Tamandua tetradactyla: one gene and its partner. The protein of the gene in region 1 purifies or fractionates together with the protein of each later gene. This does not show direct contact. Links are inferred from orthologs where the notes say so. Each region holds a gene or a part of one and is shown in the gene's direction. Other genes may lie near its edges.

Evidence for each region.
Region 2: the proteins of BLNK (region 1) and SYK purify together in Homo sapiens (affinity purification with western blotting; 3 studies listed by BioGRID and IntAct, with this or other methods). This does not show direct contact. The link is inferred for Tamandua tetradactyla from reciprocal best matches to the Homo sapiens genes BLNK and SYK.

The regions. Positions count from the first base shown.
Region 1 is NC_135339.1:57,440,032-57,443,783, reverse strand, and holds the start of BLNK (B-cell linker protein), read left to right. Parts: upstream 1-1,569; 5' UTR 1,570-2,336; coding exon 2,337-2,512; intron 2,513-3,752. UniProt on the Homo sapiens protein: Functions as a central linker protein, downstream of the B-cell receptor (BCR), bridging the SYK kinase to a multitude of signaling pathways and regulating biological outcomes of B-cell function and development.
Region 2 is NC_135328.1:8,769,095-8,772,846, reverse strand, and holds the start of SYK (tyrosine-protein kinase SYK), read left to right. Parts: upstream 1-1,330; 5' UTR 1,331-1,437; coding exon 1,438-1,851; intron 1,852-3,752. UniProt on the Homo sapiens protein: Non-receptor tyrosine kinase which mediates signal transduction downstream of a variety of transmembrane receptors including classical immunoreceptors like the B-cell receptor (BCR).

The DNA.
Region 1 (3,752 bases):
TGAAAAAGTGTTTGGAATTTAGAGACTACTAGGGAGTTCTCCCGGAGTTTTCCTACACACCTGTTCTGTCCTTAAGTTATGGACCAGTGCGGGGCACTGTACCTTTCCCTCTCCCGCAGGAAAGGTGAGGGATATTTATCCAAGGTGCCCAGAGAACATCAAAGCAGAAAAATCAGCTTCTATAAATATTAAGCTAAGGGCCACCAGGACATGCCTGGAAAAATCCAAAATTCCTCTCCTTCCTCCCCTCTCCTATCTCCCTCCTCCCTGACCCCCTTTCCCACCTTCTCTCCCTCTCCATCTCCTTCTCTCTCTCCTGAGTCTTTCTTATTTTTACCCCTTATGTTGTTTATTAGGTTATTCTATGGGATGACCCTAGCCACTTAACTAAAGTAGCTTTCAATTGAAAAAATGTCTTTAACATTTAGTTCCCCACTAAATTTAAATGGCTGCCTTAAAATCAGAGTAATCTCCTTCTACTGACTGACACCTCTGCCTCACGTGTCTCCTGAGCACAGATGATCTGTGAGGTAGAATTCCTGCCTTCACAGCCTGAGGCTGGCCCAGACAGCTCAACAGATGGGACACAGCCCAGGGACCACATTCCTTATACAGTCAGCCATGCTTTCTCTTTCCATCTGAAGTAACAGATGTCAACGTAATCAAATATAATACACTCTATTTTATATTCAAGAAGTGTTTAAAAAAATCATCCTAGTTATATAACGTAACTGTATAATAATTACTAATATTTCATGTTTAATTTTGTTTCTTACAGGCAACTTCAAAAGATGGTCCATGATATCAAGCACAACGAAGGTGGAATAATGAACAAAATCAAAAAGTAAGTTAAACATCAGGGCACTATAGAAACCATTTTAATATGTCAACCAGTGCTAAGTGGAAGAATAGAAAGTTCTGTTACCCGAGTGAGGAGTTACAAGATCTTTGGCCTGTAACGCTCTCTCACTCATGACTGAGTCCCTGCCGGTTAACCACAGGCGAGTGAGTGGGGGGGTGCCCGGGGCACTGTGCCTTTCCCTCTCCCGCAGGAAAGGTGAGGGATGCTTATTCAAGGTGCCCAGAGAACATCAAAGCAGAAAAATCAGCTTCTATAAATATTAAGCTACGGGCCACCAGGACATGCCTGGAAAAATCCAAATAAGTTACAGGAACAGAGTCCTTAGCTTCTACAGTGCCAGGCTGTTTGCTCTATTTTGATTTCTGTTCTCTCAACTATTGCCTTAAAGTGGTATTTTCTGCTGATACTTGGAGAAGAAAAGCTTGAATCTCAAATGTCCTATACACCAAAAACCTCTTAAGCCTTTTTTTAAAAAAGAAAATAGAAATGTACATATCTGCATTTGTTACTCAAAATGTAAGAGGAAAAGCGATGTAATATTTTGTAAGAATTTTGTTTGCTTCTTTTCTTTTTTCTTTTTTTTCTTTTTAGTGAAACATAATACATATTCACCAGGTAAAAAAAAATTAAAGAGTTGAGAATTATATGAAGTAAAAACCTCTCGTTTCCCCATACCTCCACCCTAACCCACTCTTCCCAAACAGATATTATCATGAGTTTGGCATATATATATTTACACACACACACACTGACACAGATATAGTACATACCAATACACATAAACCTTCTCTTCATGGATGGTATCATCTTATACAGACTGTTCTGCTAGTTTGCTTTGTTGGTTTGCTTTACTTAATGCTGTATCATGGGCGTTTTTATCTTTGTAAAAAAAAACTATATTCCTTTTTGAACTCACGATTAATAGTCTGCTGTAAATGCATTATGGCCTATTTAACCAATTTTATATTGGTGGGCATTTTTAAGGAGGGTGGAGATTCAAATTGGTACCATAGCTTTGGAAGGCACTTTGATAATAGAAATCTAATTTTTTTTTCGCTTAACTGTCACAAATAATACCGTGATAAATATGCTACACACTTTCAATACCCAAGTAAGCTAAATTCCTGAAATGAAATTTCTGGATGAAAAGTTGTATGCCCTTAAAATTTTGATTACTATCACCAAATTTCCCTAAAACATTTTGTATCACCAAAGAGTTCATTTTCTCCATGCCTTCAGCACAGAGTATTTTCATTTTTTTATCTTAAGTAAATTTATAATTAAGAAGTCACTTTGGGTAGTGATGTTAGACTAGAATATGTAAAAAATATAAAGGAGTTTCACTTAGTGTACGCGATCATCATAAAATAGTGAAAATGTGCCCCTGCTTGTGGGATAGTGGTCATCTTAGAAAGACTTTTGTCTTTTTGTTCTGGGATATAACTGGGAGAGGTGTGCAATTACTTTTATTTTGATGTTATTTCTGATACGCATAGAATCCCATTCAAATGAGGGAACACTGCTGTTGATTGTAACAATGACTGTAAATTCTAGATCAATCGATCTAGAATCCCATAGTTGCCAATTTTACGATACACCAGCTTCCTCAATGATATGGAGCTTTTGTACAAAATGTCCCTCAATTCCATGGTAAGTCATCATCTTACAGTAACCATAGATCAAGAGTTTTCTTGGACAGTTTCCATTTCAAACATTCTGTCCATTGTCCCCAAAAGTGCTTTTACTTGACAAGCCATGTTTTTTTCCAGCTTGGTTGGGAAAATGTGGCGGCCATAGTCATTATTCTGGGAGAACTTAATGACCCTTTGGTTCAAAATGAGGTGCAGTGAAGCTCTCGCTCGAAACCATGCAGCAGGTGCTACCTTGAAAGGAGGAAGCACGGTCGAGCACCCTGGTTCTTTTACATAAGACTGTGACGGAGTCCTCGCTGGTCTGTGGCCAAGTGAGAAAATAAGAACCTTGAAGTATTAGAGTTCGCTGTGCAGCTGCAGGCTGCAAGCAAGATCCAAACCCTGGCCTCTAGTCCCTGTCGGTGCTCAGTGGCCAACAGTCCTTCCTTAAGTGAATCCTTTATTCTGAGATTATAACCTCCCTACATTTAGAAATATTAAAATACCATTTTAAAACCCCATTTAAAATGCAATTTCTTTCACAAAACGATGGCAATATAGTAGCTGGTTTGTGGGTTTTGTTGTTTGTTTTGTTTAGCTTTCCTGGTCCTTGAACAGGCCTTGCACCATATCCAGTTTTTTCATTTTTTTTTCCCTGCAATACCTTGTGCAATCTCTCTCTGGGCCTCATCATAGGAATAAGGGTAACATTTTCCCAGCACACCCTGATGGTTTGCTACAAGGATTGAATAAAATGGTATGAGAGCCTTTAGGGTGACAAAGAGCAGAATTGCTACACAAGTACAAATCTTTTATTTTTGAAAAATTATAGGTTTTATTATTTTTATGGTTTGTAGGGGATTTTTTTTTTATAACAAAACATGAGTTTTGGGATACTTTTCTTTTGCAAGAAATGAAATGTATTTTGTATGAAATGATTATTTTATTTCATAGATAAATGTAATAAATGCTTCTATAAAAGGATATGAAGTTCTGGTAAATGTTACTTGATATTGGTTTTATTTATAATTTATAAATTTCATTAAGGAAATAATTTAAAATGATATTTTAAAGAGTTAAATTACTGAAAATATATAGATTTATTTTGTTATTTAAAATACATAAACTATTATTAAGATTAATAATGTTCTATAAACCTTGCCTATTTCAAATAATGGAAAGGTAGATATTAGAACTTATGAAAAGTCTAAAAATTAGAATACTTTTTAAAAATGTAATTTTAAAAAATTTTTAAATTT
Region 2 (3,752 bases), on another chromosome or scaffold:
ATAGAGCTTGAGAAAGGAGAGTTTAGAGCATTTGCTATTTAAGAGGAGGGTGGGGATCCAACCAGCAACAAAAGCCTCATGGACAGATTTGCTTGAGAGGAAAAAAAAGGGGTAACCTTTCCTTCCAAAAGATACACCAATTCACTATTTTTCCAAGGACATCTCTCTCTCTCTCTCTCTCTCTCTCTCTCTCTCTCTCTCTCTCTCTCTCTCTCTCTATATATATATATATATATATATATATATATATATATATACATACATATATTGACAAAAAAGTATATATATATACTTTTTTTGTCAATAGCATTCTTATATTTTAGAACAAATATGGATTCTTCTTTGAAAACAAATCTTGCTGAAAGGTGAATTTTTAGAAACTTGTTGGCCAAAGAGAAATTAGTCGTTGATGGTTTAATGAGAAGCTCAGCAAGAAAATCATTTCCTTGTACTGTCAAGTATAATTAAATCCTCTATTTTATTTGGGGCTCACCCAGAGGCATTATTTGATGATATTGCCTAGAGAAAATTCTAATACTTCTATGAGGCAGGTGTTCTTATGTTTTACAACCACGTGTAATTAACTCACATTGAAAGGCTGTTTTTGCGTCATCTTATGTGTGTGTAGCATGAAAACATGAGGTTTCTCTAGGAACTGGTGGAGTTATCTAGATAATTATCTATTGATAACAACCCCTTTTGGTTAAAATACACACTTCTCTGGCTACTTTTTGGACTAACAATATGTGTCCTGTTTTACATATTCACAATGGAGAGAAAACACTTTCCCTATGAAAAATACAAGAGCCTCCCCTTTTCTCTTCTGAAGAAGACATCCCTTGTGGAGTTTAAATGTGCCTTTGTGAACATTTTTTCCATAGCAGCACCATCGTCAGTTGTGGAAGCTACACTTTTTCTTTAATGTCGATTCGGATGGGAAGTGGCAGATGCCCAGCACAGGGTCTGGCTGCTTCGCTTTGCTGCCTGTCCTAAATCTCAAGAGAAGTAACTGGTTTAAATTCACGCTTGGGCTGTACAGCCGTCTGCCCACCATCAGGGCAGCTGCTGGTCAACCCTGTTTTGCAATAATACTTCTCTTTTCAGCGTGTCTCTTTCTTAAGAATTGTCTACCCCCACCAAAAAAAAAAAATAATTGATTTGGTGACTTTTGTGAACTGCTTTCTTTTTAGGTTAAATGTTCAGGGGGTGGGGGTGGCGGGTTATTTGGAAACTAAAATAATGAAGTTAGCGTGCTGGGGCTGTGCCACCGAGTTGAAAGAGGAAAGAGATTCTGTTCTGAACTGGGAGGATTTGCCTCCGGTTTTAAAGGCGGCAGATGGTGTCCTCGCTGACCAACGCTTTTCTCGCCTCTGTTTTCCCCAGGTGGACGCCCCTGTGCGCGCTCACTCCGGAGCTGCGGGCCGGGAGGTGGCGGTCATGGCCAGCAGCGCGTCCGACGCCGCGGGCCAACTGCCCTTCTTTTTCGGCAACATCACGCGGGAGGAGGCCGAGGATTACCTGGTGCAGGGGGGCATGAGCGACGGGCTGTACCTGCTGCGCCAGAGCCGCAACTACCTGGGCGGGTTTGCGCTGTCGGTGGCGTTCAGCAGGAAGGCTCACCACTACACCATCGAGCGCGAGCTGAACGGCAGCTACGCCATCGCGGGCGGCAGGACGCACGCCAGCCCCGCCGAGCTCTGCCTCTACCACTCCCAGGAGTGCGACGGCCTCATCTGCCTCCTCAAGAAGCCTTGCAACCGGCCGGCCGGGGTGCAGCCCAAGACCGGGCCCTTTGAGGACCTGAAGGAGAACCTCATCCGGGAATACGTGAAGCAGACGTGGAATCTGCAGGTGAGCTTGGAGCCGGTCCTGCCGCTTGGGGCCCGCTTGCTGTGGCATGGCCCGCAGTCGTCCCAGCTTACCTGGACAGCCATGCGCGGGGTCTGAACCCACAACCTTCTCCTTAGTCAACTTCGGTTAGAAATTGACTTGCTCTAAGACAGTCTTTCCTTTTCTCCAGCCCGGTGAAGAGGGTAAGCCTTTTAAGGGCAGTGCTGAGGGTTTCTCCACCAAAGGAAACCGTGGTTACCCCGTGCTAGCTTATCCCTTCTGGAGAAACTTTCAGAGGTATCCCTTGCTTTTTATGTATCATGCAAAGGTCATACTACACATGTCGATGGGCGCTGAATTTTGTAGCATCATCATTTCTCTTGCAGAGCTGTCCACGCCAGCTCACACCTAACCGCATCACCCCTTTTCTGGCCGTCTGTTCCCCGCAAATGTGTACCATCGTTTATTTAGCCAGTACCTGTCGATAGAGGCTCTTGTTGTTTACAAATAATGCTGCCCTAAGATATTTTATACCTGTCTGTCTTGGTTTGCAAGGCTTAAACAATAGGCGTTTACTGGCTCAGGCTTTCAGAGGCCAGAAGTCCAAGGCGTTGGCTAGAAGGCTGCTTTCTCCTCCCAGACTTGGTAGCCTGGTGCTGGCGAATGGTCCTGGGCCTCCCCATCACGTGGCAGTGTCCTCTCCTTTCTCTTCCAGCTTCCAGCTCATCCCGGTGGCATTGTCTCACTATGTCTGAATTTCTCCTGCTAATAAAGGACTCCAGCAGTCCAGCTTAAGACCCAACCTCATTCAATTGGAGCACACCTTAGCTGCAGTAACATTTTGGTGAGCTCTTACCTGCACTGGGTCCACTCCCACACCTATGTGGGTCAACCTGAGGACATGAGTGATCCCAGTTACATAATTCATTCCAGTACTTGGCTTTTAAGCAATCTCTCTGCGGGATAAACTCAGACAGGTTGGCTTTACCAAATCCAAGGATGTGAGTTTCAATTTGACGTATATTGACAAGTTGCTATCCAGAAAGGTCACAGAGCTTTTGACGTTTTACATTCCTACCACATTCTTAATAGTGCCAGGTATCATGAGCCAACAAGTTTGATCAACAGGCTCCTGCTCATACTTAAGTGTTCAGCAGTATTTTCTTGCATGCCCTGGATGCATGCTCAGTGTTAACTTTTGCTGTGTTATTTGATACGTACAGAGTTATGACAGTTTAGACTTTTGAACATTATATGCAGTAACTCTTTTTAGACCTTTCGTATTTTTTGTCTTATATGCAAACTTTCAAATGAATTTTGATATGATGGGCCCTGAATTTCTCATTAGTATTTATTGGATATATCTTAGACCATCCTTATACCTTTTTAAAAATTCAGATAAATTGCACTTATTGAGATATAATTTACATACAGGAAAAATCATTCCTTTGAGGTATACAGCTCTGTGATTTTTGGTAAATACGTAGTATCATGTAACCCCAACCTCAGTTAAGATATTAACAGTCCATTACCCCATCAAGCACTATCCGTCCCCTCCCCCAACCCTGCCTCTGGCACCCACTCATCTGTTTTCTGTCTTTATAGTTTTGACTTTTCCAGAATTTCATATAAATGGAATTACACAGCATCTCGACTTTCAGAGTGGCTTTGCTCTCATGGCATGAGGCACTGGCAATGCATCTGTGCCATCGCACGCTTCAGTGATTCGTTCTTTGAGATGGTTGGGTGGCATTTCATACCCTTTTGCTTTGTTCCTGTACTCCCTTTGTTTTAGATGCTTGTCTGGTATGTAACCTATTGCTGGTTTGGGTTCTGTTCCCAGCTGTGAAGCATGATAAAATTGCCATCCTTACACTCCTTTCCATCTATCCTTCTCCCTTCCATCTCCTAGTTCATTTGGT